2 linked regions of the Diceros bicornis minor genome follow. The protein of the gene in region 2 interacts with the protein of the main gene of each other region in a pairwise test. Links are inferred from orthologs where the notes say so. Each region holds a gene or a part of one and is shown on either strand. Other genes may lie near its edges.

Region 1 (8,067 bases), on a different chromosome or scaffold from region 2:
TGATACCTCAATAGATTTTTTTTTAAAAAAGAATAATGATACTGAGTTCTTACTCACTAATCTTTTGGCTTTTCTTGACCATTTGCTCTTTCTCATTTATCTTAGACTCAACTTCTGAAATTCCTCCAAATAACCTATATTCACTCAAGTTAATGTTGAATGTGAATGACAGAATGCTCAAATAATGGTGATTTAAACAAGAAACAAGTTATTCTTCTCTCTTTCTGTTCCTAGAACAGGTCAACTTTTCTGCTTTGGAACCTTTGCATACTCTTTCTACCTGAAACGCTTTTCCTTAGGGTCCTTATAGGTCACATTCTCAGAAAGTCTTCCCCTGATCGCTCAGACTGAGGTAGGCTCCCTTTGTTATTCTCCATCATAGTAGCCTGATTATTTTCTTCACAGTTTTCATTCATTTACTAACAATTATTCACTGAAAACCTTCTACATGAAAGGTACTGTTCCAAGGACTATGAAATCTGCATTATTTCTCATTATTGTAATTATATGTTTATGGTTTTGCCAGTCCCTCTCACTAGAACATAAGTTCCAAGACCACATCTGTTTGATCATCACTGTATCCTCTGACTTCAGCATAGTAACTAGCGTATAGTCAACAACAAACATTTGTAGACTGAATGCAGAAAATGCTAGCTCAAAATAGTATATTCATTCTCTTCAAGATGAGGGACATGAATGAGGCGATCATTTCAAAGGAGGACAAACTTGATTAGAAAACTGAATTATTAGCCTTCACCAAATTAAACAAATATATCAAAGAGTTTTTTAATTTTTCTTTTCTTTTTTTTGTGAGGAAGATTAGCCCTGAGCTAACATCCGTGCCCATCTTCCTCTACTGTATATGGGATGCCGCCACAGCATGGCTTGACAAGCAGTGCGTCAGTGTGTGCCCAGGATCTGAACCTGGGAACCCTGGGCTGCACAGTGGAGCGTGCGCACTTAACCGCTATGCATGGGGCCAGCCCCAAAGGGTTTTTTTTCTTAACCTCAGAAAACATGGATACAGACTCAGTCTGCAGCTCCCAGCAAGCAGACAACCTCCCTTTTGAACCTCCTTGGTAAGGAACCTCTGCCATGCACACTCTCACCTTTTTCTCCATGTTTCTGCTATACATAGGGTGACCATATAATTTATTGTGCAAATTAAAACCCCTTTGAGAGAAAAAGGTGAGAAATTGACCATATGAAGGAACGGCCAGACCATATATAAAAACAGAACTTTGGCTACCATCTGCAGCAACCAGCTCAGAAAGCCAGCCTACCATCTGCAGCCACCAACCCAGGAAGCCAGCCTGATATCTATAAGTCTGACTTGTACAAAGTTAGATCACTGTCTCTAGCAAACAATCCAGGAAGCCAAACAATAAATCCTGTAACAATTGGCCCCAAGTGGCCAAGACTCCATTAATAACTGACAGCTTCTCTGATTTTTCTCACTGCTTCCAACTTAGGACCAACTAGAGAAAGACAAATATGCTCCCTTAACTAGTCACAAAGGATGCCCTGCTTCTAGTTAGCCCACCTACAGCTTCCCCATGCTCATAGTCTTCAGTCAGGGCACATTTGAAGGCTTCCCTTTTTCAGCTATAAACTTTCCCATTCCTCTGCCTGCCTTTGAGTCTCTGCCAAAATGCCAGTGATGGTGACTGACTCCCTTTCTATTAGAAGTTCTGAATAGTCTTTGCCTGCTCTCATTTGGGTGATTTTCACTTATTTCCACAAAGGGAATACTATTAATAATTAAGCTGGATCAACAGGCAAAAATCAGGGTTGTTCTGAGTAAATCAGGACATAGGTCACCCGATTATAAAGCACAATTAGACAAGGGGCTGTTTGCTAGTGAGATACAAAGTTTTGGAGGGCGAAGGTGTGAACAACAGGTGAAATGTGCCACTACCGCTAGGGGGGGTTGCACCACTAAAGAACGGAGGACGGTTCAATTACCGCAGGAAGTTCTTGAGACGTTTATGCACTGAAGTTACTAGTATTCAGTAATCTTTTTGGTTTAGATGTATGCTACTGTGAAATTGTCTTCAGGGCAATAATTGTCGGATATAATCCCAAGGGAAAAGGTTCAAGCACACCATTATTGGTACCTATATTAACTGACTTTCATTTATTGACTACCGCACCTGATGCAGTAAAGAGGTAAAAAACACACTCCTTGCCTTTAAGAAGCTAGCATTCCAGAGTTCTTCAGGTCCATATGGGTCACCTAATTTGCATGGCCCAGTGCAAAATTAAAATAAGGGGCCACTTGTTCAATAAGTATTAACAATTTCAAGATGGCAACAGCAAGAGCATTAAACCATGTGTGGGCCCCTCCTGAGCACAAAGCCCTTCGTGACTGCACAGGTCACACATCCATGAAGCCAACCCTAAACACAGAATACTACTCTGTGACAAATTATAGACCAATAAACTATGCTGCTTGGTATGTGTTGTGCTGCTGCTGAGCTCTTCAGCCTGTTTTGATTCTCTGTGGTACACTTGGCATGCACAGAATTAAATTACTTTAAAAAGTTACTGGGCATTGACTATATTTGTGCTATTTGCTGTAGGGAATCTTTGCTAAAGTTTAATATAATCAAGCACATATTTTATTTTTTTTCTTTTTATTTTTTCCTTTTACTTTTTTGTGAGGAGATCAGCCTTGTGCTAACATCTGCCAATCCTCCTCTTTTTTTTTTGCTGAGGAAGACTGGCCCTGGGCTAACATCCGTGCCCATCTTCCTCCACTTTATATGGGACGCCGCCACAGCATGGCTTGCCAAGTATTGCGTCGGTGCACGCCCAGGATCCAAACTGCCAAACCCCGGGCCGCCACAGCGGAACGTGGGCACTTAACCACCTGCGCCACCAGGCCGGCCCCTAATCAAGCACATAAATACTTGATCTGATGAAAAGAGATGTTATAAAAAGTTACAATTAGGGGCCAGCCCGGTGGTGCAGTGGTTAAGTTTGGCACACTCCACTTCAGCGGCCCAGGATTTACAGATTCAGATCTCAGGTGTGGACCTACACCACTCAATAAGCCATGCTGTGGTGGCGTCCCACATATAAAATAGAGGAAGATAGGCACAGATGTTAGCTCAAGGCCACTCTTCCTCACCAAATAAAAAACAAAGTTAAAATTATAATTCTTTTGCTTTTCCCCACAAGAACTCAAGCGCAGGGCAGGGACTGAAACTGGTAGGCACTCAATAAACACTTGTTGAATGAATGAGAGGAAGGTTCAACGGGTGGAGCTTTTAACAAAGGGAAATATCAGGAAAGGTTGAAAGGGAGATTGTTACCTAGGATTCTGAAGGTCACAGGTTGGCCAGGAAGAGGGCATTGCAGACAGGAAAAAATGTCAAATAAGCAAAGTGCTGTGTATAATTTATTAATTTGTTTATTATCATTATCTTCCAATAGAACTGTAAGCCCCACAGAAGCAGGAATCTTTTGTTTCTTTACAGCTGTACCCAGTGCCTTTGACATAGTAGGCCTTCAACAAACATTCACTGACAATAAATATAGGCAATGGTACTTAGCTAAAAGCAGAGAACATATACAGTGAAAAACTGAAATGAAGTTGGAGCCAAGTTGACCAATGTATTGAACATCAGAGCGAGAATCTATATTTTATTCAGTGTACAGAAAAGAACCATTGAAAAGAGCAGTGATATGATCTGAACTCTTAACGGAAAATAAGTCAGCGGTATCCTGAGTAAGAAGATAAACGGAAAAGTCAGCGGTATCCTGAATAAGAAGAGAAAGTTATCTGTCAACATCTCACCATCTTATCTTAATTCCATCTCCTCTCCTCGCCTCTCCACACCTTCACACACTACTTAGGCTGCACTTAATATTGTCATAAACCAAATAAGACCTCAAATAAGAATACTGAAAACATTAAAACAAGCAAGCAAACAGAAACTAAAGCTGGCAACTTTCTTCTTTTTCGTCTTCTTTTTGGATTAATAATAATTGTCCCTTGATTTGTGTTTCCTTAACTGCACGATCAACTTCTTGGGGCAAATACATACGTTTAATAAAATCCCGGGCAGTTTCCAGACCAAGATGAAGTCTTGCACTGGATGTGCTCAACAAATTTTCTGGCGAAAATAGCATAAGATCAAAGGATTCCCAAATGGAGCTGATGGTTTAGTTATCGGGGTAAACCAGTCCTTCCTCTTCTGACACCCAGCCCCTTTCTCCCGCCTGATAATGTGGGTAATTAGGTGGAAAACCAAGTATCAGGGTGGCAGTGTGTTTTTATCCTGATTTAATCGTCCTGAAGTGGGGCCGCTGAGTCGCGAGCAGAATAAGAATTTTCAGACACAAGCCGCTCCTTCGTTTGCGCACTTTTATTTTGTGTTCAGCATGGGGACAGGACCCGTGGGCAGTAAGGAGCTGCAGCAAGTGTTCCAGCATGGGGACAGGACCCGTGGGCAGTAAGGAGCTGCAGTGCAAGACTCTGTGCAGGGCCTTTATATACCATTTTTACCTATTTTACTATTGTGGAGAAATGTCAAAAGAGAAAGTATTAGGTGGTCTGGTTAGCCTCAAAGATTAGGGCATGGGGACGGATGAATAAGATGTGTCCTCGCATTCCAAAGTAAAGTTTGCCTCAAGGGACACGTAGGCAGGTGATTAAAGTCACTGATCACCTCCTAAAGTAAATTTCTTCGCTCCTAGCCAGAGGCGATTCAGTAATGCAAGACTGAATGAAGTCTCAGGGAAAGAACTGGAAAGTGTAAAACGAGTCACAAACAAGGTTTCCACAACGTCAGTCCCAAATATCTAGCTTTTAATTTTGTTAGGATTCCAGGCCAAGACTAACTTTGTAACCCAACAGGGTGTGGCTGTTACAGCTGGAACACGACGAAGGAAACAAGTTTACCAACAGACACTGGCGACAGAGCCCAGGTGGGAACCTCCCGGCGGCCACCGCGCGCACGTGTCCGCACAGCCGGGAACAATAAAGTTGAGCTTGTTCAAACGGGGCCTTGTCATCCAGGACCTGTCGGACAAGCCTGCAAAATAAGACTCCTAGAAACTCCCTGATGTTTTCAAGACTTCTCCTCTTTCTCGGGTTTTTTTTTTCCTCACTCGCGGGACAAAAGTCCTGAGGGGAGCGGCGTGGGCTAGGCCGGGCGGGGCGCGTTTCGGGTGCAGCGGGCCCGGCGGTCGCCGCGGGCAGCCCCGGGAAGGTCCCCGGTTCACGTGGAGCCGGCCGCGGGGACAGTGTCCGCGATGAAGCCCAGACCTGCAAGGTTCGTGGATAATAAGCTGAAGCAGCGAGTCATCCAGGTGGGTATTCTGCACGGCTGGGGCTCACAGTGCTCCCTCTTCGTGCCCAAGGGCACCGCTGGCCCTTTCCCGGGCTGCTCCCAGGCCGAACTCCGCTAGCCCCTTGCCCCAGTCTGGGTTCGGGCGTGGGTCTGTTGACAGTTCCACTCCTCCGTGAGGCTTGCGCTCTTCACCGTGGGGCGGGGTTTCAAGGAGGAGCCCCGGACCGTGGGAGGGTGCAGCCTGGTGGGCTTGCTCGGCTCTGATCGACCTCAGCCCAGATCCGTAAGGAGGGTGGAGCTAGCCTTTGAGTTAAAATCTTCCTGTCTTGTGAAGTTAGGTCAGAAACGTTTTTCAGACGCCCACATTGTTACGAGGCGCTTTGGGGGCCACAAAGAATACATTAATTTCTGTTTTCAGGAAACTCGGGGTCAGGTTGCGACACAGTAAGAGTAAGTAACACGGATCTGACGTTATAATAGGCACTTTACCTATGGCTTTTTCGTTTTCTTAATTATCAGTAGAAAGCAATGTGTGTTAAATGTCTTGGAATGCCACAGTCAGCAGGCAGTCTTAGAAGGAGGGGGCGATTTTTCTTCACAATAGACTTTGGGAGCTATATACTCTCCTTTTTTTTTCCCCCCACCTCACTATACAGTCTCCTTTTTGCATCCCTTTCTTCCTACCAGTCTCTAAATGTTGGAAGTGCACGGAGCTCCTGTGCTCTTACCTCCTCTTTCTTCATCCTCGTAGCTCTCTCTTATCTATCCACACTTCCAGGTGATCTCATCCAGTCTAATATCTTTAAATACTGTCTATATATTCATGACTCCTAAATTTATATCTCCAGTGCAGATTTTATCTTGAATTCCAGATTGATATATCCAACTGCCTTCTCAACATCTCCTCTTGAACGTCTGACAGATATCTTCAACATAACATATCCGAAGTGAACTTGTGATATTCTCCTCCAAACCTGTCCTTTCTTAAGTGTTTTCTATTTCAGTAAATGACACCACCATCCATCCTGTTAAGGCCAAAAATCTTAAGAATCGTTCTGACTCCTTTCTTTTGCTTCCTATAACCAATTAATCAACAGTTATTTGGCTTTACCTTCAAAATATACTCCAAACCCAACCACTTTTTACCATCTCCTCCTCCAACCATCCTAGTTCAAACTACCATCTCTCTCTCTCTTTTTTTTTTTTTTGTGAGGAAGATCAGCCCTGAGCTAAAATCCATGCTAATCCTCCTCTTTTTGCGGAGGAAGACCGGCTCTGAGCTAACATCTGTTGCCAATCCTCCTCCTTTTTTTTTCCCCCAAAGCCCCAGTAGATAGTTGTATGTCATAGTTGCACATCCTCCTAGTTGCTGTATGTGGGACGCTGCCTCAGCATGGCTGGACAAGCAGTGTGTTGGTGCGTCCCCGGGATGTGAACCCAGGTCGCCAGTAGCGGAGCGCACGCAGTTAACTGCTAAGCCGCGGGGCCGGCCCACTACCATCTCTTTATTAGACTATTGCACTAACCTCCTAGCTGAGCTCTCTGGTTCTAGTTTTACCTAAAGTCTGTTCCCCAGAGAGTTGCCAAGGAGATCCTTTTCTTTTATTTATTTATTTATATATTTATTTATTTTAGAGCTGTAGAAAATATTTTTATTTATTTATTTTTGTTAAATTGTTTTTTTATTGAGGTCATATTGGCTTTGAACGTTGTGTATTTTTCAGGTGTACATTATTATATTTCAGTTTCTGTATAGATTGCATCGTGTTCACCACCGATAGTCTAGTTTTTGTCTGTCACCATACACATGTGCCCCTTTATGCCTTTTGCCCTCCCCCCACCCCCTTTTCCTCTGGTGACCACTAATCTTCTCCTTATCTATGTGTGTGTGTGTGTTTATCTTCCACATATGAGTAAAACCATACAGTATTTGTCTTTCTCTGTCTGACTTATTTCACTTGTTGCAAATGGCACAATTTTGTCTTTTTATGACTGAGTAGGTTTCCATCATTGTTGATGGGTACTTGGATTGCTTCCCTCACCTTGGCCATCGTGAATAATGCTGCAGTGAGCATAGGGGTACATATATCTTTTTGAATTGTTGATTTCATGTTTTTTGGATAAATAACCAGTAGTGGAATAGCTGGATCATATGGTGTTTCTATTTTTAGTTTTTTGAGAAATCTCCGTACGGTTTTCCATAGTGGCTGCACCAGTTTGCACTCCCACCAGCAGTGTATGAGAGTTCCCTTTTCTCCACATCCTCTTCAACACTTGTTATTTCTTGTCTTGGTGATTATAGCCATTCTGATGGGTGTGAGGTGATATCTCATTGTAGTTTTGATTTGCATTTCCCTAACAATTAGGGATGTTGAACATCTTTTCATGTGCCTGTTGGTTATCTGTGTATCTTCTTTGGAAAAATGTCTGTTCATATCCTCTGCCCATTTTTGATCAGGTTGTTCATCTTTTTGTTGTTGAGTTGTATGAGTTCTTTATATATTTTGGAAATAAACCCCTTGTTGGATGTATGATTGGCAGATATTTCAGGAAGATGCTTTTAAAGGGAAAATTGGAGTTTGCCAGGGCCCTGCTCAGCACCCTTCAGTGGACTCGCAGACATCTGGTGTAAAACCCACCCTACAAAGCCCTACATATTCTGACCATGTCTACTTTTTTGTCCTTTTGCTCTCCCCCTTGCTTACACTGTCCCAACCACATGGATCTTCTCAAACATGCCAAGTGCAGGGCTTGTGCTCTTGTATTT
Region 2 (5,950 bases):
CCTCCCTCACCCCTGCCTCCACTCACCATATACACACCCGCTCCAGCAGCATTAGCAGGCAGAGTGGGCAGTCGGTGCAGGGGACCTGGGGGGGAGGAAGGAGAGTGGAGGAGAAACTGTTGATTCACGGTGCTGGAAGGAGCCTTAGAGAACATCCAGTCCAATGGTCTCATTGTACAGATGAAGAAAATGAGTCACGGGAGCCGGCCGCCAGCCAAGGTCACAGAGTGAGAGACATGCAGATCCCCAGACTCCCAAGCTAGACAGATTCTTTCTGCTGGACAGCGGGGCGGGAGGGGCCAGAGGATGGATCCCCAGCCCTCCCACCTGGCCCCTCCTTGGCCCCCCTTCAGCAGTGATGGGTGCGAAGTGACCCCAAGGCCAGCCAGAAGCCAGAGGCCTAGGGGATAGACTGGAGATGGAAATGGACTCCCTGAGGGGCAGTGTCTAGACGCTTCCAGAAAGACCTGGTGCCCCTCACCCCATGCACTCTAATTACTGCTGCCCACATTTTTAGTTCCCAGCAGGCCCAGCGACTGGTGCAATCCGTCAGCTGTCAGGCCTCTCTGGGGAGCTCGGGCAGTTGCCTGAAGACTCCAGCGCTTTCTCTGAGGCTGGGCCAGCAAGGGAGAGAATGGCTCAGCGCAGTTGGCAAAGAACTGCCGAGGGTGTGGCTATGCGGCCAAGGCCTCAGGCACAGTGCCAGGCTGGGAGGCTGGGAGGCTGGTCTTGGGGCTGCGGCAGAGTACCCCAGACTTTGGGGCTAGGGATGATGGGTGGGCCCTTGTGATTAAGGAATCCCAGACCCTGCAGTGCCCATCTACCTCCAGTCCCCCTGGCTTCTGGGAAATCCCTGGGGGGTGGACTTATCCTCATAATCTCAGAAAAACTACTCCTGGCAGCTCAGTGCCCCAATGCTAGAGTGGAAGATTGTCAAAGAACATCTGGGAAGGTGGGCAAGAGGAGCTGACGTCAGCCTTTGCTTCTCTTTCCAAGCCCTGTGCCTGGGTGCAGGGGTGCAACCTCCTAGAGGAAGGGCACCTGGGCAGAGCTGGAGGGACCCCAGGGAGCCTGGCCCAACCCTCCCCATCCCGACAGGCAACCTTTGGCTGCACACCTCACCCTGCACCCACAGCCCTCCCTGGACGGCCTGGTAAGTCTCTCCAGCACCAGAATCAGGAGACTCACGAGCCTGATAAGATACTTGGACACTCTATATAAAGTGCGTACATCTGGGTAACTTTCATTAGTCTAAGTCTCAACATCTAAACAATGAAAGGCCCTCCTCCCTTAATAAGGATGGACACTTCACTGAGCACCAGGCACTTCACACACGTTATTGCATCTGAGATTCACCGCTGCAAGATGGGCACATTAGTAGTCATGTTTTGCTGATGGGGACCTGTGGGCTCAGAGAGGTCACAGGCCAGTGAACACCAGCACCCAGATTGAAGCCCAGGCTGTCTGACCCCAAAAGCCAGTTTCTCCCACATACCCTACACCCTCTTACCACCACCCAGAGCCACCCTTGTCCCCTCCCTGTGATTGGCAGGGTGATCTAAGAGTCCCTCAAGAACTGCCCCGTTGAAGATGGATGTGAATTCTCAATTCTGCCTCCCCACCCACCGTGGGCAGAGTGCTGTGCGGGTTGCAACTTGGGTTGCACAACTTCCCCTGGCTGGGGCAGTGGGAATAAATCCTCCCTGTCCTGGTTTCAGGCAGATGAAGGGAGCTATGAAGGGAGCTTGTGTCTGCAAAGCGCTGGCAGCCAGCCAGGCAGCCCCACCCAGAGCGTGACTGGGCCTGGCAGGGCCACACTTGAAAGCATCCATGACCACACCGGACAGCTCCCTCTAGGGTGGGACACCTGGGCTCCAGTCTGGGCCAAGGCGGGCAGGCAGGCGTGGACGAGAGCCCTCCAGGCTCCTGACCTCACCCCGACTTTATAGAGCTGGGGAAAGGTGGGGCTGGGAGTGCCAGGGAGTGAAGGCCTAGGGCTTCCTGAAGCTGAGACCCTTGGGGGACGCCCAGTAGCTCCCAACTCAGACCCACTAGCTCATGACATGATCCAGCAAGGGAGGTGGAGCAGAGGGCATGGGTCCTGTCTGCCTCCCACCCTTGGCCCACGAGAGCCCCAGGAGCTCAGAGGCCTTTTCAGAGGTGACCTCAGATTCATGCCCAGCCTCAGCTCTTTTCTGATGGGGAGCAGGTGGGTAAGGAAGAAGAGCATCCAGGAGCTTTCTCTCTTGAAGAGGAAACTGAGGCTCAGAGAGGGCATGAGACTTGGTGCTACCCCCAACTCATCAAGGCGAGTGGCTCAGAGTCTGGCTTCCAGCCCCTCAGGTGTCCTGGGTAGCAAAAGGCCCCCTACAGAACTGGCAGGAGGTCATCCTCAGCCCAGCCCCGGGAGAGGGGCAGCAAGCAAGAAAGAGAGAAACGGCGGGGGGACTCCAAGATGGGAGCCCTCAACAGCAAGAGCCCTGGGCACTAGAGAGGTAAGAGGCTACTCTGCTAGTGTCCCAGTGGAGACAGTGGGCAAGTCACTTAATCTCTTTGAACCTCAGTTTCCTCATCTAAAAAGGAAAGATCATAGGACATAAGTGGGGAGAAATAAGGCTGGACCAGGGTGGTGCATGTGAAGGCAAGAGAGAGGGACCGTCAGGATTACGGCAGGAGCCTGCGGCAGAGCCCTCTCCCAGAGTTGGGAGATGGGGGCCTGGATCCATAAGTGGTCAGAGAGAGAGGAGGTGAGGTCAAGGGGCAGGCCTCAGGCTCCAGGCAGTGTGAGTGGACTGCGCAGCCTGGAGCCCCCTTGCCCTTTGTGCCATGGGAATCATCAACAAAAAAGGGGCTTTGAGATCATAATCTGCAAAAAGGGAAATTGAGGCCTAGAGAAAGGAGGGGCCTTGCTCCGAATCACAAGTAAGTCCATGGCAAAGCCCAGACTACAGTCAAGGTTGTGGCCCTTCAGGTTCCCTGTGCAGGGCTCCTCAAGGAAGGACAGATATGATGGGGAGACTTCACAATAACCTCCTCCTGACCCCCTCTCAGCACTGGGCCTTGGGGTATCTTACCTGGGCCAGCCCCCCTAGGGGGAACAGAGAAAATGGCCAAACCCACACAAGCACTGCCTTTGCAATAGGGGTACATGCACACTCTCCTTCCTCGTCCCTCTATTCAGTTTCAGGTGGACAAAAATAACAATAACTAATCATTATCATGTACCAGGCCCTGGACTGAAGTCTTTACTTGCATTAAGTTGCTGAATCCTCACACCAACCCAATGATGTAAGCATTATTATTATCATCGTCTCCATTTTCCAGATGGAGAAACTAAGGCACCCAGAGTCTAACTCACACAAGTTCCTCCAATTAGTGGCAGAATCAGGATGTGACCTCAGGCAGTCTGGCCTCAGAGCTCACACTCTGAAAACCCCACCAGCCTGCTTCTTAAGACATTCTTTCACAGACACTCGGTGGTTCAAATCCTGGATCTGCCACTTCCTAGTTGTGTGTCCTGGGACAGGCGGCCCAACCTCTCTCAGCTTTGCCCCCTTGGACAAAAGGATAGGACTGCCCACAGTCGGCGGCCCAGCACTTTAGCGCCCAGGCCTGCGAGTGTCCGGCAGTGAGCACTGCACCAGCATCGGTGCTCCAGTCATCTGTTTTCTTGAACAAGAGAAGGTTCCAGATGTGGGCCGGGCCTTCCTCGTCCCGCCCCCACCCCGGTATGCAGAGGGAGGGATGCGGGGGAGGAGCTGCCCCTAGTCCGTCATTGCCTTTAATAGAGACCTGAAACACCGCCTGCTAAAAATACCCGTCTGGAGGCCTATAAAAGCGCTGCGGGGCCGGGCCCAGCACTTCTCCGAGCCGCAGCCAGACGCGCAGAGCCGAGCAAGAATGACCGAGCGCCGCGTGCCCTTCTCGCTCCTGCGGAGCCCCAGCTGGGACCCTTTCCGCGACTGGTACCCGGCCCACAGCCGCCTCTTCGACCAGGCCTTCGGGCTGCCCCGGCTGCCCGAGGAGTGGTCGCAATGGTTCAGCCACGGCGGCTGGCCGGGCTACGTGCGCCCGCTGCCCGGGGCGGCGATCGAGGGCCCCGGCGCGGTGGCCGTGCCCGCCTACAGCCGCGCGCTCAGCCGGCAGCTGAGCAGCGGCGTCTCCGAGATCCGGCAGACCGCCGACCGCTGGCGCGTGTCCCTGGACGTCAACCACTTCGCCCCCGAGGAGCTGACCGTCAAGACCAAGGACGGCGTGGTGGAGATCACCGGTGAGCCCCCCGCCCCGCGGCGACGAAGCTGGCGGCGCGGGGGTTGGACCGTGAGCCAGAGGCCTGGGCAGTGAAAAATTAGCCAAGGACCGAAGGCCAGAGCCCTCGGCTGGGCCTGGCCTCCCCGCCCTGCCCCCTAGCCCGTGCCCCCTGCTCTAGAATGGGGCCTGCGGGGACCTCCTAAGGGCCTTTCGGCCGTAAAAACGCGCTATTAAGGGAAGAAACGCTCCCTTCCAAGGAGACACCCCCACCCCTCCCCCACACCCACCCCCAATGACCAGGTCTCGCAGCGCCCACCCGCGCCTCCCCCCCCCCTCCGCGGTCAGTGTGAAGAGGACGTTGTCGGCTCTGTCCCTGCCCCTAGCTCTGGTCTGCGGAAGGGGCGTGTGCACGAGCCTGGCGCCACGCCCCCACCCCCCCCAAACCCTGAACTGAGCTTTCCAGAAGCTTCTTAGGGCCCGGGACAGTCCGGGGCCCCCAAATTCCGTAGTCATTTTTCCTCCTCCATGAATCCTGGGGGCCATGAATCCCGGCCACCCGGTGGGGCAGGTGGGGCAGGTTTGGACGGGGGCAGGCCTTTGAGGTGGCCTCTCCCCCCAACCTTTGACCTCACTCTCCCCCCAGGCAAGCACGAGGAGAGGCAGGACGAGCATGGCTACATCTCCAGGTGCTTCACTCGAAAATACACGTAAGTCCTGGTGCCAGATTGTGGGGGAGTGGGGAGGGTGCAGTGACAGACTGGTGTGTAACTCTCGGCTTCTCTCTCTGCATGTCCAGGCTGCCCCCAGGTGTGGACCCTACCCTGGTCTCCTCCTCCCTGTCCCCTGAGGGCACTCTCACCGTGGAGGCCCCGATTCCCAAGTCAGCCACCCAGTCGGCGGAGATCACCATCCCTGTCACCTTCGAGGCACGTGCCCAGCTGGGGGGCCCAGAAGCTGGGAAGTCGGAGCAGCCTGGAGCCAAGTAAAGGCCTTAGCCCTGCTGCCTACCCCCCAGTAGCCACCACTGACCATCCCCACCTGCCAATCTGTATACTCTTTTGATACATTCACCTTCTGTTTTTCTCAAATAAAGTTCAAGTCCCTGCCTGCTACTGCCTCAGACCCTGGTGTTTGTGGAGGCCTAGGGGTCAGTGCCATCTGCTGGCTCACACATTCATCATATTTGCTGAGGGCCTGCTGTGTGCCAAGCCCCATGCTGGGCCCTGTGGGTACAGTGGTGTCCATCACAGGGGCAGGTGTGGGAGCGGGGAAACCAGGAGAGGCACCTGGCCCAGGCTTGGGCCCTCAGGGACACCTAGGCTAGGGTCAGGTGAAGGGGGACGGAGCAGGGCTGAGGGAGGGGAGCTTCCTGGGAGCTCAGAGTCCCTTCCTGACTTCATTATTCTTCCAGATTTGAGCAGGACCCTGTAGACGGTATAGGAGGTGTGGCAACTCCAGGTGACTTTCTGAGGGGAGGTTGGCCTAGTCGAAGGACCTGTTCCCGCACACCCGTGCCTGCAGGGTGGGGCCTGGGCTCTCAGGCCAAGGGCGTCCTGCAGAGAGTGAGGGCAATGTGGCCCGGGTTTTGGTGGAAGAGACACAGAGTCCTAACTGGGAAGGCGGTCACTCCAGGAGGGCTGCCTTGACTGTCCCAGGCAGGAACAGTCACACCCACCTTTGTCTGCCCTTGTCCTACCCA

What was found.
Region 1: the proteins of HSPB1 (region 2) and NVL interact in binary tests that used the Homo sapiens proteins (3 or more experiments, as listed by UniProt). The link is inferred for Diceros bicornis minor from reciprocal best matches to the Homo sapiens genes HSPB1 and NVL.

The regions. Positions count from the first base shown.
Region 1 is NC_080777.1:9,450,510-9,458,576, forward strand, and holds the start of NVL (nuclear valosin-containing protein-like), read left to right. Parts: upstream 1-5,052; 5' UTR 5,053-5,262; coding exon 5,263-5,319; intron 5,320-8,067. UniProt on the Homo sapiens protein: Participates in the assembly of the telomerase holoenzyme and effecting of telomerase activity via its interaction with TERT. Involved in both early and late stages of the pre-rRNA processing pathways.
Region 2 is NC_080765.1:3,494,540-3,500,489, forward strand, and holds HSPB1 (heat shock protein beta-1), read left to right. Parts: upstream 1-3,841; 5' UTR 3,842-3,900; coding exon 3,901-4,270; intron 4,271-4,894; coding exon 4,895-4,958; intron 4,959-5,047; coding exon 5,048-5,237; 3' UTR 5,238-5,361; downstream 5,362-5,950. UniProt on the Homo sapiens protein: Small heat shock protein which functions as a molecular chaperone probably maintaining denatured proteins in a folding-competent state. Plays a role in stress resistance and actin organization.